Linked DNA regions of Mytilus edulis. The main gene of each other region encodes a partner of the protein of the gene in region 4 in a complex. Links are inferred from orthologs where the notes say so. Each region holds a gene or a part of one and is shown on either strand. Other genes may lie near its edges.

The links.
Region 1: exosome complex exonuclease RRP44-like (region 4) and exosome complex component RRP41-like share a complex: the UniProt entries of both Caenorhabditis elegans proteins name them as parts of the RNA exosome complex. The link is inferred for Mytilus edulis from reciprocal best matches to the Caenorhabditis elegans genes dis-3 and exos-4.1.
Region 2: exosome complex exonuclease RRP44-like (region 4) and exosome complex component RRP4-like share a complex: the UniProt entries of both Caenorhabditis elegans proteins name them as parts of the RNA exosome complex. The link is inferred for Mytilus edulis from reciprocal best matches to the Caenorhabditis elegans genes dis-3 and exos-2.
Region 3: exosome complex exonuclease RRP44-like (region 4) and exosome complex component RRP46-like share a complex: the UniProt entries of both Caenorhabditis elegans proteins name them as parts of the RNA exosome complex. The link is inferred for Mytilus edulis from reciprocal best matches to the Caenorhabditis elegans genes dis-3 and crn-5.

Annotation. Positions count from the first base shown.
Region 1 is NC_092351.1:28,687,956-28,694,909, reverse strand, and holds exosome complex component RRP41-like, read right to left. Parts: upstream 3,018-6,954; 5' UTR 2,963-3,017; coding exon 2,875-2,962; intron 789-2,874; coding exon 133-788; 3' UTR 111-132; downstream 1-110. Other genes in the region: general transcription factor 3C polypeptide 4-like, read left to right, coding at 3,090-3,203. UniProt on the Caenorhabditis elegans protein: Non-catalytic component of the RNA exosome complex which has 3'->5' exoribonuclease activity and participates in a multitude of cellular RNA processing and degradation events.
Region 2 is NC_092345.1:3,685,918-3,693,785, forward strand, and holds the start of exosome complex component RRP4-like, read right to left. Parts: upstream 3,005-7,868; 5' UTR 2,878-3,004; coding exon 2,762-2,877; intron 1,718-2,761; coding exon 1,616-1,717; intron 911-1,615; coding exon 775-910; intron 235-774; coding exon 169-234; intron 1-168. Other genes in the region: uncharacterized protein, read left to right, coding at 3,082-3,153, 7,220-7,286. UniProt on the Caenorhabditis elegans protein: Non-catalytic component of the RNA exosome complex which has 3'->5' exoribonuclease activity and participates in a multitude of cellular RNA processing and degradation events. Involved in regulation of antisense ribosomal siRNA production.
Region 3 is NC_092352.1:17,383,345-17,390,867, reverse strand, and holds the start of exosome complex component RRP46-like, read right to left. Parts: upstream 3,015-7,523; 5' UTR 2,907-3,014; exon of another isoform or gene 2,814-2,906; intron 1-2,813. Other genes in the region: uncharacterized protein, read left to right, coding at 6,393-6,442. UniProt on the Caenorhabditis elegans protein: Non-catalytic component of the RNA exosome complex which has 3'->5' exoribonuclease activity and participates in a multitude of cellular RNA processing and degradation events. Involved in apoptotic DNA degradation.
Region 4 is NC_092348.1:60,052,979-60,060,653, forward strand, and holds the start of exosome complex exonuclease RRP44-like, read right to left. Parts: upstream 3,021-7,675; 5' UTR 2,917-3,020; coding exon 2,695-2,916; intron 947-2,694; coding exon 884-946; intron 109-883; coding exon 14-108; intron 1-13. UniProt on the Caenorhabditis elegans protein: Putative catalytic component of the RNA exosome complex which has 3'->5' exoribonuclease activity and participates in a multitude of cellular RNA processing and degradation events. Has both 3'-5' exonuclease and endonuclease activities.

The DNA.
Region 1 (6,954 bases), on a different chromosome or scaffold from region 4:
AAAGAATGCGGCCGTGCATATCTGGGTATACATGTATGTTAATGTAAGATACACCGACCCAACAATATAACAAATCTGAAACACACAAATACCAGCCAGTAAAGGAGACATTTTTTGATGAAGCAATTTATTTTAATGATCCCATCCATGTGAATTAGACAATTCACTAACATGATCCCTGACTGTTTGGTCTAAGACAGTGTAAACATCTTTACAACTTTTCACTGCTAAGTCAATAACTTTACTCAGATTGTCCTCATGGAGCCTCGAGTTCTGTTCAAGAAAAACTATCTGGTCAGATTTTGGTAGTGTTGCAACAATTAATTCAGGTCCACCTGAAGATTCTTCAAGATAGTTTATATCAGCAATAGGATTATCATTTACAAAACTTGCTGAACAAGCACAAACAAAGTCTTTCATTGGAATACCAGCATCGATCAGAGCAAGAGTAGCCCCATTTACACTAGCACAGTAATTTCCACCATCCGATTGGAGAACTTCAACAAAAATGTCAATCTGTGATCGTGGATATAAATTTGTCATAATTGCTGCATCAAATGTTTGTTTTAAATGCATTGTCATTTCTTGTGATTTTCTGTCACCTCTTGGTCGACGTTTCCTCTCCCCAGTACTAAATGTAGCCATGCTGTATTGACAGTTAACCAATACTCTGTCAAGTAACAGCTTTGCTCTGCTCCCTCTGATTTCATGTGGACCATAGACTGTGGCCAGCACTTTTGTATTTCCTTGTTCAATGTATGCTGATCCATCTGCCTGCTTGAATACACCTGAAGGAAAGAGAGAAAAAATTGTTATGCTAACTACAATGAAATAATGATATACAAGTTATGAAGTCCTTAAACTTCCAACTACAACCAACTTTCATAATAACACTTTATCGTTTGATCTTTTTATTTTATGTTTTGTTTTTTGTTATTGTCATTTTCTTGTCTTCAAAAGGATAAGTGATACCTGTAGTTTAAGAATTATTCACAAGCTTATTGTCCTCAAAATTATAAGCCTAGGTTGGCCTTTAAAATGAACTAAAAGTCTAATTCAGGCATACTTGGGTCTTGTTACATAATTTAAATCAAAATGTACATGAGGGTAGGAATGGGGTACCCTGCATGACGAATGACGAACCATGGCTTCAGGTCAGGCTATTCCTGTGAAACCCAACTGCTAGTCACACTACACGACTTCATGAAAGCCTTCGACGCAGGAAAACAAATTGATGTAGCTATACTGGACTTCTCCAAAGCATTTGACACTGTGCCGCACAACAAACTACTGCACAAAATGAACGAATACGGTATAAGAGGACCACTAAACAAATGGTTGGAGATGTTCCTAACCCAAAGGAAAATGAAAGCTGTCGTAGATGGGGAGGAATCAGAAGAAGCTTCAGTTGACTCCGGTGTACCACAAGGTACAGTACTAGGACCCCTTCTCTTCCTCTGCCACATAAACGACCTTCCAGATTCAGTACAATCATCTGTCAGACTTTTCGCAGATGACTGCCTCCTGTACAGGAACATAAATAGTCAACATGACCACACACTCCTACAACGAGACCTCCAAAACCTAGAAGTATGGGCCACAAACTGGGGCATGCGCTTCAATGCAAAGAAGTGCTATATACTTAGCATTAAGAATAAAAGCCAGAAGATGTACAGCCTAGACAGACATGTACTACAACAAGTCCAACACAACCCATATCTAGGCTTACAAATATCAGAAGACCTAAAATGGACCACGCACATCTCAAACGTTGCCAAGAAAGCCAATTCGACACTCGGCTTTCTAAGAAGAAATCTACGCTTCTGCCCAAAAGATTGCAATAAGACCGCATATATATCATTAGTACGATCAACTATGGAATATGGTGCCATAATATGGGACCCATATACACAACATGATATAAATCAATTGGAAAGAATACAACGCAGAGCAGCTAGATTCATCACAGGCGACTATAGGTCTAGAGAAGAGGGGTCGGTCACCAAAATGCTAGCCGAGTTAGAACTAGACAACCTACAAACAAGAAGAACAAGTCAACGGCTAGTATTTCTGTACAAAGTGGTTGAGGGGTTGGTCCCAGCTATTAATCCCGACGATTTTCTTGTTAAAAGTAAACCCAAGAGGAAAATCAAACCTAAAACATTTGACAATTTTGTATGTGCCAATATAGTGACAAATTCAGTAAAGAACAATTCTAAGGCACTAGATACTATTCCAAGCAACACCGATCCCTATAAGAACTCATTCTTCGTCAAGAGTGTACTACATTGGAACCAACTAGAGGATCGTATTGTATGCGCAGATACAGTTGAGAGCTTCAAGGCTGCTCTCCAACACCGCCAATAGGTGTCTCTCTCTCCCGTTGAGTAAAAGCCAGAATTGGTATCTTCAACGTACACATACAGATACAGATACAGACAGAAGAAAATTGAATAATTCAAAGAACCTTAGTGAGCGCGCTCAGATACCCCACGTCCCAACAGAAATAAAATAATGTAACTGAAGAAAAAAAATTGAATCATAATTTCCAGTCGATATGCACATCTGCATAGTATGTCCTTATTATCTACAAAGGTTCATGAAATTCTGTTGTGTAGTTTCAGAGAAGTTGTGATGACAAACTGTTGCAGAGGTGAATTGAAGCAAATAATTTCAAAGGGGCGTAACTTCTAAAAAAAAAACATGACATGGAGAATTTAAAGGCCTCTTGTGATTCGTAAGTCCGAGATTACTCTGACGTCCAACGGCTGTTTTGCCAGACAAGCTGGGAAAACAGCCGTTGGACGTCAGAGTAATCTCGGACTAGTGATTCGTGTATCCAAAACGAAGTGCGTCAAATTACAAATCAATAACCTAATTTGCACTGGATCCGTCTTAATTCATTTGGTTTTCTGCCATCTATTCTATAGCCTTGATCTGACAAAAGATTCACTCCTGCCATGCTCCCAATATTTACAACGGCATGGAAATTGAACTCGACAATTGTAAAAGAAGCGTTGATTGGTTAAGATCGAGATATTATCCAATCAATAAAGACCTATCATTTCGAACTCGGACTTCTCCTCAAGATGGCGGGAGGGGATAAAATTCTTTTTCCTCACGAAATATCTAGTTATAATGCTCTAGATTGGTCGGAAGATGGCACAGTAGCAATTGCTACAGATAATGGAGTTTTACTTTTGGTAAATTGTCTCAGTAAATGTTTATATTCTTTCTTGGTTAAAGACTTATACAGTTATAGTGCGAGTCCGCTGCTGGATAACTCGGACTAAAACAAAATCGGCCTATAACAAACTCGGACTATAACAAACTCGGCCTACCATTATTTATATGCAGAAATATATTGAACGAACTCGGACTACGATTAGTAGATTGTTATTTTTTTACTTTAATAAAAAAACACTTTATATATATTATTAAAATTATATACGAATTTATGAGATTACATGTATAATGAATATTTTTGAAAAAAAAGACCATATATATAGAAATGTATTAAAGGGAAACTTCGTAAAAAAATCAAAAATTGATATTATGTTCATTCTGTATAAAAATGCTCAAATTCATAGATATTAAAGTTTTATTCCGCTAGATAAGCGATCACCATCGATTTTAAATTAAGGGTATTAATTCTCTGCGTTCCGCCATTTTGTCCTTCTTTCCCGATTAATGAAACGATATGTCTATAAACCACAAAGAAACAAAACTACAGTAACCGATGTAGTCGTAATTGCGTGTCGATATCTTGTCAATCGTACGGTTGTTTTATCCGACTAACTAACCATGGTCTGTTGTTTTTAAACTTGATATTGGAATTAGGTGAAAAGTCAAAGTTGAAATCATAAATAAGTGTTCCGTGAAAATTGTTTTCGAAAATCTAATTTGTTCATAATTCTTTAAAAACTGTTTTCAAATAAATTTTGATCTTCCCTCTTCTGATCACCAGCATGGCTAAAGGTATTACTTCCAAAGGTATTGTGAGGGGTGTGAGGTGACACGTGCAGGTATTCAAGCGATTTCCTGTCGGGCTTGCAAGTTCACGCATCGTTTCACTTCTGCAGGTATTGATCAGTGTACACGGCTGATAACATTTAACTTTCCATTTTGAACTATCAGATGTATAATATACAACTCTGTCTTACTTGTCATTACCAAACTCATACGCTTGTTTATAAATAACATTTCTGGTGTAAAGAATATTATTCATAAAAATATAAATAATACCCAAAAAATAAGATTTGATGAAATTAAAATCTATTTAAATATTTTTTCCAAGGGTGAATTTGGGAAAATGTAATATATACTCATTGTCAAAAGTGAAGGACAGATTGGAACATACCAGAAATATTGATTTAAAAAAATGTACGCACTTGCCGACGATTCGTTTATACGACTGGATAGAAAGTTACGGAACTATAGCGCAATTTAAAATATATACATGTATACATTGAACATAAGAAAAAAACATATATTTTGAATAAATAGGGGTAAAAGTGTTGTAAATAGACTAGTCCACGTATGCCAACAGTATGTAATCATCGAATGTCGATAGACTATTGTATACCAGAAGAAAAAGAGAACCAATTTGATTTAAATACAGGTCGATGTATAACTTTTGCTTTGGTTCATTGAAGTTGTGGACATAGTAAAATCACAGATTTATATTTCAATAAGATTGTTCTCGAACAAAGGAAGGAATTCGTCATCACAATTGTTATATATGCCACTGGACGAACACTAATTATCCCGAAGGGATGTGAATATTTTGCTGGGAAACTTTAGAGTATCAAAGTTTCAAATTAATTTCGGGATTTTTTTTTTTCTTGGTATTCAATAACAGAAAAAAGAATAAATTACTTGTCCGCTAAATAGGGGTATTCTTGTCAGATGAAAGACTTTTAGTTATATTTAAAAAAATAGGGAAATATGACATTAAATTGGTTCTGTCTTTTTTTTAAACATCGTTAAAAAAGATGTGTGTCTAAGGTGAACGCCACAAGAACCCTGTAATACTAGTACGAGAGTATAGCATGTAAACATTCCTTCTCAATAATATGGTTGTATTGGAAATCTTTTCATACAGATTGACAACTCATTGTCCGATATGCATGTAATATTTGCCACATGACGCCCATAGTTCTTTCTACCATCGTCATCTTATTCTTTGATATTGCTGTCAACATCGATGGTTCACACCCAAACAAAATGGGAGTAATGGACCTTCAGAGCTTCTCCGTGTTATACACTTGTGAAATATATAGACGAAATTTCTGTATTGAAATGAATATACATCTCACAAACAGGATTTTCAAATAATGATTTTGAGTAATCACCTTACAAACCAATATAAACGTATGGCAAGATATAACCATGAAGGAATTTAGTTTTTGTCAGACACAAGAACTCATCACTATCATAAACGTATACGTATATATGCATACAATTTCAAATATCAAGAACAAGCGGTCGATCGGATGTCGATAGTCCGTTTTCTAACTGTTCGAGTAAGACATGTCACTTGTTCATTCTTGAAAGCCTTCATATTCCCCGTCTAACGATGGGAACTGTTTCTGATTGTGTTGACTATAAATGCTTGTATGGTAATTCTGTTGTTTATCTGTACAAGCGGTTGCATTTCCTCTCCTTTCCCAACAAACAAACGAACGAAACGCTACTAGTCTGCTTTCTCTGGAGCTCATCCTCAATGGCTCTTATACGTCAGGAAACTTACATGTATACTAATAATGATTGTTTCAAGAACAACGATGTATGGACGAACTATTCTAAATTTGTCAATATCAGTTATGCATGACTAAAATATAACTTTTATTACAACTACTGTATTACTTATTTGGATTAATGACGGCTATCATGTTCAACATTGCACAACTATTATCATAGAATTAAAAAAAAAAATCCTCAAAAATCCTTAAAAAAAAATAATGCCTTAGCTTAGATAATTGGTATTTTTTCACAAAAAGTTCGTGTAAATGATTGTCAAATGAATTTAATTATGTAAGAATAAAATGTTAAAAAGAAACTAAAAAAAAAAATTATGTATGTTGTATTTTTTTGTCAATTAAAAACTTTAAAATTGCAATAGTTTTATTAGCATTTAAACACAGCCAGATTTGAATACAAGTTAAGAAATTCCGGTATAAAGTCAATGATATCAAACAGATGTACAATGGTATATCAAATTGGGTAATATTGCATTTAGTTTTTATTAAAGATTAAAACTACTATTTTTTACTTCATATTTGAATCTTTACGCCAATTGCCGCTAAGAAAGTAATCAAAAATTGTTTCCTTTTATTTTTATACATTTTCGGATTTACGAATCTGAATTTTATTTTCAATTAATTTACACAATTTAATTATTGAATCTTTATTCTCATCGTGTATTAAATCTTAGTGTATTAACATCGTGACATCATACTCTTTCTAATCCTTTCTGTATATCCTTTCCAAATAACAACATTTATACCTGTGTACGCTTGAACTCACACCTGCGGCTAAATAGCTACAAGGTAAACGAATTGACCTCAAACCGAGAAATATACAGTGACCTTTACAAAATAATATACACACTCTGCTCACACATTAGTTGCATTAAAATGATTATCAAAACAATAACGGTAAATAGACAAGTAAATAGTAAAAATGTTCAATAAATATTTTATGAATAAAATCTCAACAATAATTAATTAAATGTATTCAAAAACATTTACTAGAGACAGAGACATATTATTTTATAGGAGTTTAATTCAATGAATACAAAACGGTATATGCATATTCATTTTCGTTCATTATTATATTGTGGTTAATAACTACGACCATTCGTCAGCTGTGTGCTTTTAATTACGTATATTTGTCGATAAGCTATAAGAGTTAAACAGATTTTATTTTTTCCCAGAATTCAATAAATCGGGC
Region 2 (7,868 bases), on a different chromosome or scaffold from region 4:
ATGCTAAAGGTTGAGCCATATGAACCAGATTTCTTTACAAAATTATGGAATGCAAAAATCTGTTATTGACCTTGATTAGTTTGCAATATGTGACAACCACTTAGTCTGAAAACTTGTGCACATTTACATCTGAATTTTTTGTTGCAATCTTAATTTTTAAAAGGATACACTTATGAGGTCTCCTTCTTTAAGATAATTTCTCATCATCTTCTCATCTTCCTCTGATCTTCGCCTCTAAAAAAGAAAAGGGAAAGAATCAAAAACTTCGACAAATTTTAATAGCATCATGATTTATCATTGAAATCACTTTTCGCATCACTGTAAAAGTCAATTCAACACAAATATGTCATTTACCATTTAGCAATAGAAACAGCAAAAACTTAATGTATGCTGTTTAGAAGTATTTTCATTTTGAAAAAATCAAGGGGAGATAATTCATCAAGAAAAAAAATGCATTGTACATGAAATATAGTACAAATAAGATTACAAATTTACACATTATCATGATTTATCATTGGAATCAGGCTCTTTATACATCACTGTAGAAGAATTTCCATATCTTTATTTTTATAATAGAAACTGTAATCTTGAAATTGAATATTTTAAAAATATGTACAACTACATGTATGCATCAATTATATCAAAATTGTCCACATACAAGTCAACTTACATCCACTTCATTTGAACTTTGTAGAGAGTTGTCTCATTAGCAGTCATATCACATCATTGAACTTATTTTTATATTAGTAATTTAAAAGGACAAATGATTCTTACAAGTTCTCCTCCTGGCAGATTAACTGATGACAACATTAATATGGAATCTAACTTTGATCTGGTATCTACTTTCCATCTCTTTTGTCCCACTTCTATAATTCTCCCAATCACAACATCTCCAACTTCACCATTATATCTATGGATTAACAAAATAATTATGTGTTACCACTTCTATAAACCTACCAATCAAGGGTGAAGGTGTTAATGTGCATGAAATAACCTACACATGATGTGTAACATAGACTTAGAAAAACATTGTATATCAAAGGGACAGTACTGTCACTGTTTTGCATATTTATAGATTAAAGATGAGTGTCAATGAAACAACTCTCTTATGACTAAGAAAAATAGCTGTAAACATGGCTTACAACATCCTATTCTCTTTCGACATGACTGACAAAAAACTTTTTTAGTACAGTACATATGTACCTTGAAATGAAAAATTGACATAGAGATATACAATGTATTAAAGGAACATTTCATTAGTGGTTGTTGTTTGCTGATGTGGTTCATAAGTGTTTTTTGTTTTTTATATAGATTAGATTGTTGGTTTTCCTGTTTGAATTGTTTTACACTAGTCATTTTGGGGCCTTTATATAACTTGCTACAATTTGGTGTAAGCCAAGGCTCTGTGTTAAGGCCTTACTTTGACCTTTAATTGTTTACTTTTAACAATAAGAAGAGCTGAACTTGGGCAATATACATGTACCTGAAAAATTATACACCTTAAAGCAAAAAAATCTTAGATAGAGAGTTGTCTTATTTGCATTCATTCCTCCTCTCTTTATTTCTGTTGTTGAAATAGTGAAAATAATCTGACCAATAAATTGCTAATGTTTACCTTGTTTTAAGAGGTTTTACACATATTAATTTGTTGACTCTCTCCACAACACCGGCTACTGAAGCATGAAGTTTCTCGTCCTCCATATACGTTCCATGACCACTGAAATTATGCCAATAAAATATAAAATATAATTATTTCTCAAGTACATATAAAGGCCAAATCGTTACTTTTTAAAAAGTTTTTAAGGGAGACAAAAAGAGCTGAAATTTCGCATTATAAATGTCCCTGAATAATAATACACCTTCAATACAGGCACTTGTATCAGAATTTTTTTTACTGTATACCTTTAGTTGTCATGATTATATAACACAAGGTACTGGCATTTTGAAAAAAATGTCACCCAGTCGCGAAATAGACAACTTTCGAGTTTGATGCATTGTCGTCAAAAACTCTGGTTTTAGTGAACACCATTTGTACGTTAGGTGCTTCGTCACTTCTGTTCCAATGCTGAGCAAGTGACCGGGAAAACTATAATGTTATATTGCACCAAAAATGTATTTTAATAATTGACAATCAGCACTGCTGTAATTAAGGAATTGTTAATAAGTACTTACAAAACAAACATTATTCTAGTTAATCCTGCATAATGACGATCACTGTATTACATACAAACAAAAATCAGGGGCGAACATGTGAGGTGTAAGCGTGTAGGGTATGACAGTGTATTGAGCGGGAACGGACCTGATAACATTCCTCAAAAGCAGTCGATTTTTTATCGTCTAAATGAAAGGGTACATTTTATTGTCATGAACCAAAAGTTACCGTTAGCCACATTTGGCAAGAATTTTTACAATAATCTATAGTGAAGGTTACTAAGTCTGGTACCTCCATTATAACTCTCTTGTATGATGTCAAAAGTTCAAGAGGCGTAGATTCTTGGGTCAAGCGGCGCAGCCTAGATTTCCAAATAGCGATAAGGTCTATAAAATTTCAATATTAGGACTACAATAACAGTGAAGTGAAATATTGATAACTATACTGCCTTCTCCTCTTTCCGGTGTATAAATGGGAATGATTATACTGATTTTTTTTAAATGATTTAGACAGCCAAAATGAATAATTCTAAATTATTCATTTTAAATAATCGACAAATAAAATTTATGTTCATTTCATGTTGTTCAAATATTGTCATCCATTTCCTACCGCATGAAACCAGTATCTGTAGTAATGACATCGCCTGGACACACAAGGTTCGATATTTCCTCTGTGAACTCTTGCTTTTGACGATCTCTGGCTCCAACAACACGAATATCAACCATGCTGCTTCCTTGCGGGTTTGTTTACAGCTCTCATCGTTTATGTTTTTATTTTTAAAGATTAAAAACTGGTTACTTCCAAACGTTCTGAGGACAACGACGTGAAATCTTATGTAAAATCCAGAGGATCATCGAAATTTTAGTCGGAATATTTGACCTTTCATTTTCAATGAAGAATCACGTTGTATAATTTCATCAAATTAAAAGATGACAGAAGAACAAGTTGCAGAAGCTCGTACTAGCAAGCTCGAGGAGCTGCTCATGCAAGATGAACCCGAGGTAATTAAAATCTACTTTATACAATACCATTCAATTGTCATGATTGTCAAATCACATTTACAAAGTTTTTTCACAGTTACATCATACAGGAACATAGATATACTGTTCCCAGCATCATATAAAAACAAGAAGGAGAGGCATGATTGCCAATGACACAACTCACTACAGGATGCCAAATGACACAAAAAATAACAACATAGGTTACAGTAGGCTAGTGAGTAGGGCCTTCAACAATACACCTTATCGCTAATCCCGGCTGACCCGGCCGGCCGCTTGAACTTTTGACGTCAACAACAATCACTTTTCCATTGTGGCGTCAGATATTTTGTTTTATGACGTCAAATTTTTACGGGAACCTGTGTGATTTCCAGCAATGGCGGACAAATAGCAATAAAGGTGTATAGGATTAGCCCTAGTCCAAATAATTAAGACGTCTGGCAATGCTTCGGTCGTAGGAAGGCGTCCCAGGATTAAATTTAAATAGCCTTGTCAGACTTCATATTTATTTGGACTAGATTAGCCCATACTGCATAGTCGGCAATAAAATTAAAAGTACTTGAGAAATGGGACACTCGAAGTGACAAATGTAAAACAATGCAAACATGAAAACAAACAACCTAATTTATTCACAAAAAAATAGCGAAAAAGCTAAGAGGTTACACAACAACAAATGTCAACCACTGAATTAAAGGCTCCTGACTTAGGGCAAGCACTATTTCAATGTTTTAATTATTGCGAAAAATGTAACCGGGTTATAAGGCCACACCAATTTGATCCCTTGTTCGACGGACCCGCCAGCACCTATTTTTTTCAAAACAGAATTTTTTTATTTTTTTTATATTCCCGCTTCCCGCATCCGGAATTGTAATCATGTCCATTTCCCGCACCGTTTTTTTTTTGTAAATATTATAAAAAGATATCAACATTTGTTAAATCACAGTGTAACCTGTATATAATGATTTTAAACATAAAAGCACCCCACCACACTGTGTAAATATCTGTGAGAATATTTGTTTCAGCATGAAACCTGGAGTGCTCCGATAAAAAGTTATAACAGCGGGTATTTCCGTGAAGAACAAAAAATTGGTTTCTTTCCCCCTTACTTATATTCCCTATCAAAAGATGTTCGTTGTTAGAATAAAGTACAAAGAACTTCTGAAGGATTTGCCTTCAACTGCAATTATATTGTATGCTCGCGAAACAAAACTATCCATAGCCGCTGCATGTTTATGCACCTGTCCTGATTGATTCAGGAGCATGTCGTTCAGCAGTTATCGTTTGTTGATGTTGATCATTGGTATTTTTTCGTTTGGATATATAAATTAGATCGTTGATTTTCCTGTTCGAATTGTGTACGCTACATGTAATAATTTTGGGGTCCTTTATAGCTTGCTGTTTGTTCTGTATCAAAGCCCTGTGTAAAAGGCTGTACTTTGACCTGTGTTTGTAATTACATTGTATCAGGTTGAGAACAACCCTCCCTCAGACAAGGGGTCATTTTACTGATGTAGAAAAGAAAATAGAAATACTAAGGATTTGTATAGTTCTGCTATATAAACCTTTGAACACGAATTTTGTACTCAAAAAGAGGAGAGTTACATCATATTTTAAACAAATTTTTCTAAAAGAGGGGTCCACTTATTTTGAATAATATTAAACTGTTAAAGTAAAGTGTTAACATGGTTAAAGTCCAGGAATATTACAAAATTCTTGGACATGTTTTGACCATTTAATACCAGATAGATATATAGTTCTATGAGAAAATATGAGCTCTTTTGTACAAACAAATATATTATAACTTATATTGATCCCTCATAAAACATGTAAAAGGGATATTTATAACATTAAGGGGTTGCCCCCAAACTGATTATGATTTGGATGGAGAATTGTCTCATTGTCAGTCACACATACATAGACCAGATTTAATTATTTCTTGGTGAACAGGGAAAAAATACTTCAGAAATTAAAGAAATGTCAAAGTACAAGTGGTAAATCAAGTTTTAATATTATCAAAACCTATTATTTTATGTTTACAAAAAAAATTATAATCGCTCGCCTTTACTTTTCAAGCTTCGCCTCAAAAATTTGCAAATTAAATATTTTTTTATTAAAAATTTTCAAATCGCTTGCTCGCCCCAAATTTTGGAGTCCAAAAATCTGTAGAACAAGAAATTAAATTGGTGTGGCCTAATCTGAATAAGGCCGTGTTCAAACCAAACGCCGTGTAGAGTAAACATGTTTACAATTAGTTTAGTGTAGTGTACACTGGTTTCACATTACATTTGTTCACATCTATACACATTGTTTAGCTACCTGTACATAAGATTTGTTCCCATTTGTAAACTATATGTCATTTAAATGTTCATTACGTAGAACTGATTTCAAATTTTTGGACAATTTTTGTAGCGGTAAGGGAACAACCATTTGACTTCAAAAGGGGAGTCGGGGTGGGAATGGAAATATTCCGATCCCCAATTTGATAAAAAAAAAAAAAAAAAAAAGGTCATACAGATGATAAAAAAAATATTCTGAATCAAGAGTTTCCCCATACATTATAGTGTTAAATATGGAAAAAAGTATTTGATCACCAGCATCGAAAAAAAAGGAATAAAAAGGTTTGCGCGAAAAAAAATCTGACTCAGATAAAAAAAAAAAAAAAACCCTCCCCCTTTTTTTAAAGTTAAGTGGTTGCTACTTTATGAAAGCCATTTTTATAATTTGCAGTAGTTTGAATATACTAGAGATGTCTCCATTACGCATTAGAAAACGTTAGCTGCAGCAGCGTGCTTACAGCCAAAAAAAAAGGATTGAGATATTAGGAATCACTACATTTTAATTTTTTCTGTTTGTTTCAACTTGATGGTATTTCTTCTCAAAGGAGTATTTGGTAAAGGAATAGGGTAACGTTTTTTTTAAAATTTATTTGAAGTTTTATTTAACGGATCTGAGATATAAGACAAACATATCATTTACCTCACACTTTCTTTAGTCGTGCATTTATGCGTGAATCGTTGTTTGAGTAAAGACCAGTGGCGAATATTTCTGTGTACGTCAAGTCGATTCAGGAAGACCTTTTCAAATGAATTAGGCAGCAACTATTTACTTCATTTTTTGGGGAGGGGAAGGGGGGGGAGAGTAGGGGGCGTGGGCTTTTGATTTTTTCAGGACAAATTTTGGTGACAAGTCGAAATCAATTTTAGCATTATATATATTGGCAACTGAGGGTGAAACAAACAATTATAGGGCCAAAAACTTGTTTCCAAACACCCCCACCCCCTTGCTTTTATGTTTTATACTCAACTATAATAGCCCCCCCACCCACTCGAAAATCAATTGGTTGCTGCCTTATGGGTTCGGCAATGATGCTGCTTTAAGTCTTGATCAGGGGTTAATAGGGTACGTTAAGTTTTTTTAACAAAAAAAAATCTGTAAAATTTAGACAACAATTTCTGTAAAGAACTATACTAATAATTATCAAAAATATCAATTTTACTCAAAAATTGTTTCCTCGTTAAATATATGCACGGTAAAACTAATGTCCTAAATGCCTAGTTTTGTGTACACTTAACCTACACAAGGCCTACATTGACTATCGACTGTGTGTAGATAAAACATGATTTAAACTACATGTAAACATTGAGTTTTATCAATGGGAACGCAATTGTATTTAGTTTACGTGTGATTTACACTAACACAACACCGAATTTAGGTCAATGTGAACATGGCCTAATTTAAACTCACATTTTGAAGATTTGTATATACATGTATATGAATTGAACAGGATATTTCTCAATATCGCAAACATCAATATCACATTTTAATCTGAAATGACAAAATAGCAATAATAAATGCATGCACAAATTTCTGAATTTACAGTATGTAGATTGGCATATTGACAGGAAATTATTATTCAGTTTTGTTTCTAGGAGTTATGCCCCTTTGAACTTAGACTAAGACTGCAACATGGGGTGTGGGGTATGTGAGCTTGCTCACAAAGATTCCTAACTTTTTGAATTACTAAATTACTTAATAAGATGATTGTTACCCTAAATTATTTTTTTTTCAGTTTGTAAAGAACAAAGATGTATGCCAGTCAAGGTGTTTTATTAAAGGACTTGGAACAATGTTTGTAGGTGGGTACATATACCAATATCTTTTTTTTTGTCTGTCATACATGTATGTCCATTGTCCTTGCTCTCATTTTCATTGGTTCATTGGTCAATGTAAAGTTTTGTGTTTTGGTGTGTTTTTCAAATACTAGAAGCATTATGTCAACTGGTATTGATTGAATAATAATTTTAAGGTGTAAATGTCTGTCTTGCAGGATTATCTGATGGTGACCTTGACTTCATTGTCATGGATGTTAAAAAATGTTCAAAGGGCCAAGTGAGCTTTTCTCATCACTTGGCGTCCGTCGTCGTCCTGCGTTAACTTTTACAAAAATCTTCTCCTCTGAAACTACTGGGCTAAATTTAACCAAACTTGGCCATAATCATCATTGGGGTATCTAATTTAAAAAATGTGTCCGGTGCCCCGCCCAACCAACCAAGATGGCGGCCATGGCTAAAAATAGAACATAGGAGTAAAATGCATTTTTAGCTCACCTGGCCCGAAGGGCCAAGTGAGCTTTTCTCATCACTTGGCGTCCGGCGTCCGTCGTCGTCCGTCGTCGTTAACTTTTACAAAAATCTTCTCCTCTGAAACTGCTGGGCCAA
Region 3 (7,523 bases), on a different chromosome or scaffold from region 4:
CAGTACAATCAAGAAAGACTTTAGTTACAGCTTTAATTCAATGTCATTTTGACTACGCCTGTTCTGCATGGTATGCTGGTGTCAGCAAAAAATATAAAGATGAGTTACAAGTACTACAAAACAAATGTGTTAGATTTATAAAAAACACTGGATATAGATCAAAAGTTGACCATAATGTATTGAATAGTATTGGTTATGTTAACTTTGAAAATTGTGTTAAACAATTGAGATTAAACCATGTACATAATATTCATTACCACCATTGTCCTGATTATATGTATTCAAATTTTACAAATGTGAGACATTTACATCATCATTTCACACGAAATAGCGAATATAACTTCTGGGTTCCTCCAGTTAAGAGTCAACAAAAAGACACATTTTATTTTAATGGCATACAAGATTGGAATATGTTGCCAATTATTGATAAAAAAAAATAAAGAAAATAAAGGAATTCAAAAGTAGCGTCAAAGAGCACTTGACCAAAAGTTATAGTGTGGCTTCATCAGACTCCTTTTAGTCGAGCCTTCGACTATAGTTGAAAAAGCGAGACTAAGCAATCCTACATTCCATCGTCGGAGTCCACAAATATTCACTCTGTGGTTAAAGTTTTTAAAATTTTAATAACTTTCTAAAACTATCCTGGATTTCTACCAAACTTGGACAGAAGCTTGTTTATGATCATAAGATAGTATCCAGAAGTAAATTTTGTAAAAATAAAATTCAATTTTTTCCGTATTTTACTTTTAAATGGACTTAGATTTTCTGCCAGGAAACAACACATTCACTCTGTGGTTAAACTTTTTAAAATTTAAATAACTTTCTTATACTATTTTGGATTTGTACCAAACTTGGACAGAAGCTTGTGAATGATCAAAAGCTAGTATCCAGAAGTAAATTTTGTAAAAATAAAATTCCATTTTTTCCGTATTTTACTTTTAAATGGACTTAGTTTTTCTGCCAGGAAATATTACATTCACTCCGTGTTTAAAGTTTTTAAAATTTTAATAACTTTCTTAAACTATCCTGGGTTAGTACAAAACTTGGACAGAAGCTTGTTTATGATCAGAAGATAGTATCTAGAAGTAAATTTTGTAAAAATAAAATTCCATTTTTTCCTTATTTTACTTTTAAATGGACTTAGATTTTCTGCCAGGAAACAACACATTCACTCTGTGGTTAAACTTTTTAAAATTTAAATAACTTTCTTATACTATTTTGGATTTGTACCAAACTTGGACAGAAGCTTGTGAATGATCAAAAGCTAGTATCCAGAAGTAAATTTTGTAAAAATAAAATTCCATTTTTTCCGTATTTTACTTTTAAATGGACTTAGTTTTTCTGCCAGGAAATATTACATTCACTCCGTGTTTAAAGTTTTTAAAATTTTAATAACTTTCTTAAACTATCCTGGGTTAGTACAAAACTTGGACAGAAGCTTGTTTATGATCAGAAGATAGTATCTAGAAGTAAATTTTGTAAAAATAAAATTCCATTTTTTCCGTATTTTACTTTTAAATGGACTTAGATTTTCTGCCAGGAAACAACACATTCACTCTGTGGTTAAACTTTTTAAAATTTAAATAACTTTCTTATACTATTTTGGATTTGTACCAAACTTGGACAGAAGCTTGTGAATGATCAAAAGCTAGTATCCAGAAGTAAATTTTGTAAAAATAAAATTCCATTTTTTCCGTATTTTACTTTTAAATGGACTTAGTTTTTCTGCCAGGAAATATTACATTCACTCCGTGTTTAAAGTTTTTAAAGTTTTAATAACTTTCTTAAACTATCCTGGGTTAGTACAAAACTTGGACAGAAGCTTGTTTATGATCAGAAGATAGTATCTAGAAGTAAATTTTGTAAAAATAAAATTCCATTTTTTCTGTATTTTACTTTTAAATGGACTTAGATTTTCTGCCAGGAAACAACACATTCACTCTGTGGTTAAACTTTTTAAAATTTAAATAACTTTCTTATACTATTTTGGATTTGTACCAAACTTGGACAGAAGCTTGTGAATGATCAAAAGCTAGTATCTAGAAGGATTTTGTAAAAATAAAATTCCATTTTTTTCGTATTTTACTTTTAAATGGACTTAGATTTTCTGCCAGGAAACAACACATTCACTCTGTAGTTAGAATTTTAAAATTTAACTTTCTTATACTATTTTGGATTTGTACCAAACTTGGACAGAAGCTTGTTTATGATCAAAAGCTAGTATCTAGAAGGAAATTTAGTTTTCTTCCAGTTGACATTACATTTAGTCTGAAGTTAAAAGTTTTTAAACAGTATTAGATTCATAAACTATCCTGGATTTTTACCAAACTTAAACAGAAGCTTCTTACAATTTAAAGATAATATCAACAGGAATATTTTATTGATTTATTTACTCATTTTTGTTGAGCCTGCGATTAACAGAAAGAGTAGGCGAGAATTTTTTTTATATTATTAATCATATTTTTATACAAGTTATTTTTATGTCATATTATTATTAATTTGTGTGTTATCGTTTTTTGTATGTCGAAACTATAAGCCGTTTACATGAAGGGACCACGTTGCAAACAAGCTTTAGAGCTTTCATGGGTTATCCTAGTCCAAATAATTATGACGTCTGGCAAGGCTATTTTAATTTTTTTTCTGGGACGAGAAAGTCATAGGAAGGCGTCATATATGTGTTAGTATTGTCTTTATGTATCGTACATATATGTATTGTGTATTGTAATTATAGATATGCTTGATATTTTATTGAATAAAATATTATTATATTATTATTATTCATTAAACATCATACATGCAAAACACGTGTTTACTTTTATAATTTCACACGAATCCCTGTGTCCTTTTTTAATAAGCTTTAGTGATGATGGATAATAGTTTTGAAAGAATATATATAAAATGGTTACATTCAAGCCTCATTAATAAGGTAACTGGTAGAATATGCAATCAAACTGCGAACTGTTCAAACACTTTGTTGGAAATAAAGGGAGGTAAATCTAAGATGTAAAAGAAAAAGGATAGAAAAAGAAAAGGAGTGCCGAATGATAACCGATTTACTCAAAACAAAATCCTCGTAAAACACAGTTCTCTAACATTTCTTTTTTTTTTAATTAAAAAAAGGCACATCAGATCAAAAATCAACATTTGATCAGATTTAAATGGTTTGAACAGTTTTTCAATTCGTAAATGATTTTCTGCGTAATCTGTCGATAAAATTAATAACACGGTGGAGTTGTCATTTTATGTTAAAATGTGCAACATAGCCTAAAAAAGCCAATGATATAAATCTATATGTTCACTATAAAGTAAAGTAAAGTAAAGTAATCTTTATTTAAAGTCGGTTTGCATATATATACATAATAACAGAGAACATGAGCTCTTAAGAGCTCTTTAACCGACTGATATTAATAAACAAAACATAGGGGGGACCGGGGTTGAATGAGACACTTTTTATGTTCTTGTCTATACATACAAATCAATTATACGCAGCTTTCTCACTAGACCTAGCAAACTAGACAAACATCTCGTGTACATTTTAAAAAGGATTTGAATCCACTAAAGCTATTTCTTAAGTCACATCTGACGATTTAATGGGGGTTGTCGCATGTCACAACCTACCCCGTGTGCGGGGTACGTAAAATCTTCAAAAACGCTTCTATGGCATAACCATTTCTATCTCGATGCAATTTGAAAAAGACTTCACGAAAACTTTCTAAATATTCCATAATTTTTTCTCTAAAGGAAGATTTACAGTCACTGTCTCATTCAACCTGTGTCACATTCAACCCCAGTCTCCCCTACATGTAATAACATCAGATACACATACAACACAAACATACAGACATCACATATATATATTAATACATAGATAGCACATGCAGAATAAAAGCTAAGCAAGATAGATTAAAACAAATGTCTAATATCAGCACATATACAGTAGCACATAGTGTGTGGTTATATTTAAATAAAAATGTTGAATGCGTCTATTATTTTTGAAGATATCATGATTTATTGACAGTGCTGAGACACATACATGTATTACGTAAGGTCAAAGTATATACATAAACGAAATTTAAATTTTAAACATCAGTTTACTTTTTTAAATAAAAATTGAAAGTAGTTAATTTGTATAGGTCTTTATAGTCTTCCATAATAATTATTGTTCACTTACACATAGACAAAATCCTTCCATTTCAATGTATTGTGGATCAATAGTATAGTATTTAGAAGATAAAAGTTTCATGCTTAAATATTTACCAATTACGATTTTCATACTATAATGTACAATTCTGGCCACGCGTCAAGAGTGGGAAAAATATAATTTGACCACATAACATAATATACTTTGCAAATGTTTGGTGTATAAATAATAGTAATTAAGAGCGTTAAGATGGCTTGTTTCTTGTGTCTCTTGTGTGTGTGTGGTGATGGTTGTGGTGGAGAAAAAAAGGGGGGTTCCATGCGGATTTCATGTTATACTTTTTCGTATTTGGAAGAATGGAAGAAGAAGACCACAAGGTTAAGACGTTTGAACAAGTTTGCTTTAAGTAATTATGAGCATTCTTTAAAGACTTCAAAGGCGATTCTACGACAGTTTCCACTTCCCCTATTAAAACGGTCAAATGTAATCATTGAGCTGTACATCATGATCACATGCATAAATGAAATTCATGGAATAGGCTGGATCTATTGGTATACATTACTGCAGTAGAGATGGAATGTTGTTAACTTGAGAAAAAAAATCGAATAGTGTATAAAGCGTAAAATGGAGATATTAATAATTTTTAAAATGGAAATTACACTCCATCCAGAAAAGGATACATATTAACCTCAGTATTCATAAAATAAGAATTTTTCGACCTTCCGTTGCGGTCATGGATCAGGTTCGGCCTTATAGTCGTCTCGACCATGTACCATTTTGGCCATATGACTGATGAAAAAAAATTCGTTTCGGCCATTTCGGTTATACCCTTTATAACTTTGAATATAGTTTTTTTGACACTTTTATAGGAATGAAGATTTAAGAAATATTTACTTACCTAGTTTCTCATTCAAAACATCGATAGCCATAATGTCCCGAAACGACCAAGACCGAAGTTGGGTTTACCGAAACGCAGGACCTTTAGCCGAAATGGCTTATAGCCGAAACGTCTCGGAACTTTCTCGGCTTTAGTAGTTTCGACCATGTACCATTTCGGACATGGTAGAAACTACTAAAGCCGAGACGTTTCGGCTAAAAGCCACTTCTCACATGTACCATTTCGGACATGTGAGAAAGTCCATTCGACCGTGTACCATTTCGGACATGTGAGAAAAAGACGTTTCCTCCATTTCGTCCATACATTTATTTTTGTATAGGCCTACCCTTTATGAAAATAATGAGATATTATTAATTTGCCGTACTGATGTGCCGGAATTTTCTTTATTAAGTATAATATATAAAGAAATATTTACTTAGTCTACCTCTTAATTATTCAAAACATTGATAGACATAATGTACCGAAACAACCAAGGTCTTTAATAGTCTTTGTCAACTTGACACTATGATCTCTCTGTATTTAGATCACTATGGTAATTTAATCACGTTCGCTAATGTATAAAAATCATCAAGTTAGTACGAAGTTGGGTATGACCGAAACGACCAAGGACGAAGGTGGGTATGACCGAAACGACCTTTGGCCAAGCAGGTTTAATATAGCCGAAACGTCTCGAAAGCTCGATTAACACTGGAATATTTTTCGTAATATTTGAACAATATTTTCCTTTTTTTCAAAATCCGTGAATTTTAGGTTTTCCATTAATTTCAAAAAATATGTACAAATTGATATTTTTTTGTCTAAAAGTTATAGTGAGACAGTAAGGCAGCAACCATTTGATTTTCGGGGGGGGGGGGGGGGGGGGCTATATGGATTTTTTTTGGAAAAAAAATTGTTTTTGATTCTGAGAAAAAAAATTGTTTGTTTCCCCCTCAGCTGCCACTATATGTAATGCTAAAATTGAAAGAAGAAAATTGTCTTCGACTTGTCCCGAAAAAAACCCATTGTTTTTCGCCGCAGGCGAAAAAAAAAGTTTGTCCAGAAAAAAAATCCATAGCCCTCCCCCAGAAAATCAAATGGTTGCTGCCTAAATGATTCAATAAAGTAGTCTCAGCTATATGTATAATGTATTTATATACCGACTCTAAATAAAATTTACTTACTATAACCAAAGAGTGAGGTTCTGGTTACCTAATGGAACATAGAATCAACAAATGAATGACGTAATTTACGCGCATTAATACAGACACTCATGCGTTCTTTTTGAGTCCATTGAACAACGGACGTACAGTGAGGAAGAAGACCTCCAAACAAGAAATTACATTAAGAACTAATTTGAAGAACAAAACACAAACTATGTCATACAGAGGAAGAGACCACAATTCTGGACGATCAGACCGTAAAGGGTAATTATTAATATTTCTTGCTTTCAGTAATTCAGTTCTAAAAAATGACGATTGTTCAGACATTATGAGAAGTAGTTCCTTGCATAAATTTTTGAACGCATTAAAACATTTGTCTACAAAAGAATGAGTTCCCCTAGGTATATTAAATTAGTTTTTATATATTTTAAGGACGAACATAATCACACTGTCTAAGATTGTTCAACATTCTTTTCGCAATTTAAAAAAATTAATGATCACGACAGGTGTGCATGATCACTATAACCGGACGTTCAAACCTCCATTGACATTGTAAGTTTAGTTATATTTAATAATTAAAAAAAATCTTGTGTGAAGTCTTTTGTCACAAGTTAGGTGCCAAATACACTGGACTGCATGGTAGTTATATAACTTGTTGAAACTTTTCTCAAAGAATACATGTCCCTGAAATTTGGAATATTTAGGCCATAAAAAAGAATAGATTTGTTTGCCCTACCTACCCAGAAAAAACTGCCTACTCAAATTCTGTTATTGTCCTGATTAGAAGAAGGTTTTTTTAATCAGATAGGCATGAAGACTAATAAACATCCGATACAATGTACTTCAATTTCTTAAAAAAAAAAAAAAATACCTACCTACCCACTGTCTCAACCTTGTAGGGTTTGGGCAAACCAAAATATTTTTAATTGTGGCCTTATCAACTTCTATTTCCTGTAATGGCTTTATTATTAAAAATTAGAAAACCACCTTTTGTAGTTGTCCCTTTTATGATAAATTTTCCCCCCTTTTTAAATGAAAAAGGGGAAACTTCATCATGTAAGGGATAACTACAAAAGGTGGTCTTCATTTAAAATGGGGGATAAAGTTTCTTTCAACATTGGAGTAAAAATTTAATTTTGGCAGCCTTCACGCTTAACTTTCGAGTCCACAAGCCAGACGCTTTTTATACGACCCCAAAAAGTTTTTGGGATTGTACATGTATATTGGTATGATGTCGTCGTCCGAAGACACATTGGTTTCCGGATAATAACTATAGTTTAAGTGAAAAGATCTTTATGAAATTTTTTCAGAATGTTCAATACCACAAAATGAAGGTTGGGATTGA
Region 4 (7,675 bases):
AATATGAACTTACTTGTTGAATTCATTACAGAATGTGTAGAAATGTTTGTCTGGATTTGCTATGAAGTCTTTGACTCTCTTGTAAGCAGGAGCACTTCTGTGTCGAATCTGTTAAAGATTTACATTGTAGGTAAATTATTAATTTATTAAACTTAAAAGTAAAATAACAATGTTTATATACATACGTATATCTTTACAACTATGTGTACTAAAACTTTTACAAAACAATATATTTGTAAATATATGCACTTAAGGTGGTAGACCTTTGTTCAGGGAGACAACTCTTTAAATCAGTTATGTGTTTGTTAAAGTCAAGTTTCATCAATGTTTTTTAAGCACTTACCTGAAACAGATTGGAAATAATCTATGTAACCTAGAAGCTTAGAATATATTTATGAAAATGGTTGACACAAACGTACTGATGATTTTAATAGTTATTTCCCTTAACCTAGGTCTACCTCCTTAATTACATCATTTAACATGTACTGTGGATTCATCATGATTCCGGGCTTACCAAATATCGTGGATTTCATTGGTAAAAGTGAACTGTAAATTTGAATATACATTGAATCCATTTTAAATTTTGAAAAGGCTTGAATGCAGACTTTGGCAAAACCATGATTTCAAACATCCACATGAAACCTACTATTTTTTGTCAATACAAGAAAAGAGAGGAGGGAGATACTGAAAATATAAGAATAATGTAGGTTGTCCTGTAAGAACCTTCAATCTGAATTTGAATTTTGTAGTGCTGAAATGGTGGATTAAAAAAGTAATTTCTGAACAACCCTCCACACAAAAGCAAAAATATTGACATTATGGAAAAGGCCTTTATTTATTATATATTATTATTGTAACATTTAACAAGTCTAATACACCCTACCTCCTCTAAAACTGTCTGTAGAACTATCACATTCTGAATTGAGGGATCTTCAACTACATCAATCTGAAAAATTAAAAAAAAACTGGTTTAAAAAAGAAAAATTCAAGACATATGTAATCTTATATAAATGTTTCTTAAGGGTTCATCCCTTATTGTCAACCATTTTTCAAAACATGCAAAATCCCAACCGAAAGGGCGTGTGACTTTGTGTAAAAAAATAGCTAAAAAAATGCTAAATTTTTTTCTAAAATAATATATATACTTGTATGTACATGTATAATATGTGTTCTATGAAGACATACTGTTTTTACATCATATGGCATACATAAATATAACTATATCAAAACAATTTCTTGGGACCATAAAATTTGAATGAAGTGAAAGGCAAGCACCTGAAAAATCACTTGACAAGAAAAACAAACATTCACAAAACATTCACAAACAAACTGGTAAAAAGAAATGATAAGAGCTCATTCCTTAACACATATCTCTAAAGTGGCAATTGTTTCAGTATATATTTCAATTGGAATTGATCAATTGAGATGTCCACTGTAATAAATATCAAAACAAAAAGAGCATTTATCCATTTGATAGCTTTAAATAATCATGGGAATAACTGTTTCCACAATACTCAATACCTAATTTAACAGGTTGAAGAGAGATCACTCTTAAATATATGCTAACTTAGGGAGCTACCATTTGATTTTTATGGGGGGGGCTAGGATGAAAAATTTTGTCCTGCATTTTTTTTTGGTTGTAATCTCTGTCCTGCCTTTTTATTTTTTATTCTATTCGATCCTGCCTTCTTTTTTTTTAGTTTATCCTGACTTTTTTTTTACCTAAATTGTCATCCTGACTTTTTTTTTTGCAAGTGTCTCATCCTGCATTCTTTTTTTTATACTCAAAATTCCTGTCCTGCCTATTTTTTTCAAATTTCATCCTAGCCCCCCAAAGTTTTAATTAGTGACCTCTAGTATTATTATTAGATGGTGCTAAAGAAAATAGGCTCATCCAGTTGATGTCATCTATACCATGCAACACTTTGAAGACTTGTATCTTATCATTCCTACATGTATCCCTAGGCTACGATATTCCAAGGTGAACGTAGTCTTTTCATAATTAAGATGATATATATTTTTTACTAATTTTGATGCCCTTCTTTGTAAAAATTCCAGTTTGCGGATGTCTTTTAAAGGTACAGTTACCAGAGACATGTCACATATTCTAACAGCGGATGCACTCTTGATTTATATGGGGACAAAGTCCCCAATAACAGTAGAAAAATCAATAAAAAAAAAAAAAAAAAAAAAAAAAAATTCACGCACCTGCACAGAAATCTACAATGTACTTCCTTTCTCCGGTCTCCTTTGTATGAAACTTTGAGTAAAATATATACTTATCAGTCTAGTATAAAATAGGAAGGAACGCAATACCAATTTCATTTTTAATAATTCCTTGATATGAAAAAACATTACCTGATGATAGCGTTTCTTTTTTTACATTGCATATGACGTCATAACTTAAATAACGTCACAACTGAAATCAATAACAACAGAACCAAAATAGGAAACGTTACAGTATTTCCGTTTCTCTTTTTTAACAAATATTTAAGTTACAAAAAAAATAATTCATACAGACTTCGTCCCCATTTACAGGTAATGCTGCCTCATATTAAATAGTAAGAAACATATCTTGATCCATGTAATCAACATCCTAAACACTTAAACAGGTATGTGCCATAATGCATTGTAATGTGGGTGTAACTACCCTGGATTTCAATAATAAAAACAAAGAACCTGTAAATTTTATACCTGATGAAAAACTACATTGGTGTCCAAGATAAGATAGTGTGACTTCTTGCATAATTTGCTTTTGTTGACAGGTTTGCTTTCCAAAGGTTTGACATCGTTTTTGTCGCAGATTGTACAACTCTGACATCCACATGTAATGTCATCACGGAGATAATGTTCTCGCACAATCTTTATAATACTCCCTTTCTTTGTCTTCTTGATAAAAGTCTTTGTTGTTAACATTTTCTGCGATTTTAAAATACAAAAATAAAATTCACATGCGTTTATTTTTACCGGAAATGATAGTTCTTTGTACCTCCAACATCGAAGAGTGTCTTTCGGTATAACAAATGACACAAGCTAAACACTTGGAAAAACAAAGACAGCTAAGTTCCTTAATGAAATGAGACATAAAGACTCATTTGAATGCAGTTTACGAATAACTGGTGCAAAACATAACAAAGCATTGATGTTTCTTAATAACATGGTTATTTGTTAACAAATTTGGTTAGGAAATTCTTTTTTTTTGATTTAGCTGATTATGAAAACAGAACATCGGGTACAGTCTGATTAAGTAGAGACATATATATGTGTATATGTGACTTGTCTCTGGATTAAGGGAGCTGGGATCAGATTAAAACGGACATAAACATAACAAAGTACATTTATAATCATATACACGATATGTCAATAGATAAAACCTGGCAAACCTTCAAGAACGTAGTACACTCGGGCAACAATTGACACTGTGACCAATGTACCATCTAAAATGATAAAGAAAAAGCACTCTGTTCCACGGTTAAACAGAAAACTACGCAAAATGCTAAAAAGTAAAGCAAGGTTGCACAAACATGCTAGAAAAACTTGAAGCTACAAAGAATATAAACAATTCCAAAAAGACTGCAAACGCCAATTTAGAAAAGCACTGTGAATGGGGCTATATATTAATGACATCATCAATGCAGGTTCTTCTTCTTCTTCTTCCAGGTAAGGAACCGAATTCAAATTTTGAATGTATGAGGTCCCGCGAAAACTAACGCAATGTCGGACAACACAGAAAGTTTTCTCTTGGCTATTTACAGGATAAAACGTTCTCTATATATATACAATTAAAACTATTTACAGGATGTTACTGTCTAAATTTTAGCAGAGCATGCCTTCAGGGCAGCTCTGAATCCATCAACTGTGTCAGCTGATGTTGCTGATGTTGGAAGTTGGTTCCAGTCTCTAATGGTCCTTGGAAAAAATGATTGTCCGAAGGCGTCTGTTGTGGCCCTTTCTTGGAAGAAGCGGTTTTTACCTCTGGTCCGGCTATCGTTTGGTGTCAGATATTGGTGCCTATCTATGTCTATCAGATCATGTTGGATTTTGAACAGCATGCATAGCCTATTTTGTTTCCTGCGGTCTTCGAGGCTTTCCCATTTTAAAGATGTTACCATTTTTGTTACACAGCCAGGTGTGCGGTCTGTGTAGTTGTTGTTTACGAATCTAGCTGCTCTTTTCTGTACTTGTTCGATTGCTTTTATTTTAGCCTGTTTCGTAGGATCCCATACTGTGCAAGCATACTCAACTGAAGGTCTTACTATTGTTGAATATGCTGCTGCTTTGACCGGTTTAGTACAATCCTTTAAGTTACGTCGTATGAAGCCTAGTGTTTTGTTTCCTTTTCCCACTATGTTGTCGATGTGTCTGTCCCAGGTTAAATTGTTGCTGATAGTAACTCCCAGGTACTTACTAGCTTCAACGGTGTCCAGTGTGTGTCCGTGTAATTTGTAATTAGTTGGTATTACCGGACGGTTCTTGGGATGTATTCTAATTACAATGCATTTTTTTGCATTGAAGCTCATTTGCCACTTATCTTCCCATTCCTCTAATGATGTCAGATCTTTCTGTAGTAGGTCACTTTCTGCTTGGTTAAAAGTTTTTAGTTTAGGTTTAGTACCTAGCATCTCCGCCATCTTTAAAAAAATAATTGACACAGGCACTCTCCCTGAAGATTGGTCAAGTGCAAACATAGCTCCAGATTTTAAGAAGGGGGCCACGGTCCACGCAGCTGAGAATTACAGACCAGTTTCACTGACCTGTGTAATATGTAAGCTTTTGGAACACATCATCTGTAAACACCTTGCACAACACAGCTCTTAGTCACAACCACAAGGGGGGGGGGGGGGGGTCACTTCCTATTATTGGGTATACGGGGATGTGCCAAAAATATGAGTCATAATTTTGCGAGATTTTATATAAAAATGACCCTCCTTTTTAATGACATCTTATATTAAAATGCATTAATTTTACGTTTGATAACTGTATATTGATTATGGGTATGATTTACATATCATATATAAATATGCTATTGAGAATCTTACAGAACAGCTATTCCGAAACGATTTTAACTTATAAACAAGACTTTTATAATTTTATCATATGATTTTCATAATATGTAATATTGTATATAAGTATAGATCATTCTTTCTTAAATATTTATATAACTATAGGTACTGAATTTCAGTGAATGTTGTATTAAAATGGGTATGTTTTTGAGGCAAAAATGGCACACCCCTACCAAAAAAATATCGAAGTTACCCCCTCCTCCCCCTCCCGTGGTCACAACAGAAGACCTACTAAAGAGTTTCGACAGTGGCATTCAACTCGATATGGCTATACTCGACTTTTCAAAGACTTTTGATACTGTGCCACATGAAAAACTACTGGCTAAATTAAACAGTTACGGAATAGATGGTAATCTTAACAAATGGTTAGCAGCATTCCTGCAAAAACTATCAATTGCGGGTTGTCGTAGAAGGTTAGTACTCAGCATATGCTCACGTAGACTCTGGCGTACCACAAGGCACAGTACTAGGACCGCTGATTTTCCTATGCCACATCAACGACCTCCTGGAAAGCGTAAAATCTCAAGTTCGTTTATTTGCAGACGACTGCCTACTCTATCGAGAGATTAACAACACAAAAGACCATCAAACTCTCCAAGAAGATCTAAAAGCTCTGGAAGTATGGGCACTAAATGAAAGTTAACGCAAAAAAATCTATATAATGAGCTTCAAACAAAAATCAACACACTTCTACCAACTAGACAACACATACTAGAACAGGTACAAACAAATCCTTACCTAGGTCTTAACATATCTGATGACCTAAAATGGACCAGTCACATAGGGAAAACAACCAGCAAGGCAAGCTGTACACTAGGGTTCCTGAGAAGAAACCTGCGTCAGTGCCCCTAAGAGTGCAAAAAACTTGCCTACTTAGCCATGGTAAGATCCGTACTAGAAAACGGTGCTGTCATCTGGGACCCATTCACTATCAGGGAAATAGAAAAAATAGAAAGTATACAGAAAAGAGGAGCACGTTTCATCTTGCACGATTATAAATCCAGAGACACCGGGTACGTCACAAATACTATGCTTTCTAAGCTAAAACTACCACCTCTCCAAGAACGAAGGAAACATCAGAGGCTGACTTTGTTCTACAAAGTGTTTGAGGGATTGGTGACGGCTATTGATCCAACTAATTACCTGCAAAAGACCAGAAACAAACGCCAATATAAAAAAGAAGATGTGGTATGATTGCCAATGAGACAACTGTCCACAAGAGACCAAACTCACACCGACATTAACAACTATAGGTCACCGTACGGCCTTCAACAATGAGCAAAGCCCATACCGCAAAGTCAGCTTTAAAAGACCCCGATAAGACAATGTAAAACAATTCAAACGAGAAAACTAACGGCCTTATTTATATAAAAAAAAAGTCAAGGCAAAAACCTTTAGTGACTTTCAATACACAAACATCGTGGAAAGACAAGAAACCAGAAATAACAGATCGATCGTACAATTTAATAGACTGCAAAACAGACATTCAAAAGAACTCTTTTTTACCAAAAACAATAGTGGAGTGGAACCATCTGGACGAGGAAATTGCATGTCAAAAGACAGTTGAGGGATTCATGGCTGCCCTCCAACGGTTGGACTAACCAACCCGCTTTCCTTCCAGTGCGCATATATCCGCGATCGGATCCTGCACTGTGTAACATACAGATACAGAGCTACCATTTGATTTTAAGGGGGGAGGGGGTAACCATTTTGTTCTGCATTTTATTAAGTTGTAATCTCTATCCTACTTTTTTTATTTTTCACTCTATTCGGTTCTGCCTTTTTATTAGTTAATCGGATTAAATCCTGATTTTTTTTTACATAAATTGTCATCCAGCCTTTTGTTTTGCCAAGTTGCTCATCCTGTCTTGATTTTTACTGATCTTTACTAAAAACTCCTGTCCTGCATTTTTTTCCAAATTTGATACTGATACTAGCCCCTCCAAAAAAAAATGGTAGCTCCCTAAATCCAGCCCCACTTACGCAAGTCTGTGACCACCATCTGTATCCGTGTATGTGTACGTTGAAGACACCAATTCTAGCTTTTACTCAACGGGAGAGAGACACCTATCACGAACGGTGTTGGAGAGCAGCATTGAAGCTCTCAACGGTATCTGCGCATACAATACGGTCTTCCAGTTGGTTCCAGTGAAGTATGCTCTTGGCAAAGAAAGAGTTCTTGTATGTATCGGTGTTGCTAGGAATAGTTTCTAGTGCCTTCGTATTGTTCTTCACTGAATTTATCACTACATAGCCAGAAATTAGTAGTGGTTTTGCTAACTAATATTCATAATATGTAAATGAGAATTGTACCACGTGATAGTACTTTGAACTGGACCGGCTAATATCATTAAAATCTTTAAAACACGGATATTATAAGTTGCCCGTCACAGAGTCCTTATTTACAATCACTTTGACATTTCCGTAAAGTTGTCAGGCGGTCAAAATCAAAACAATGAACGCGAATAAAGACGAATTTAGTGAATTTTTCGTGCTTTCGTGAGTTTATGCTCCTTGAAATAGTGACATTTTAACTTTACGTGGGAACCTAGAGTTCAACGACTACACATACAAGGTTTGGACTTGCTTATTCTTTGGAAATTCAAGTTTCA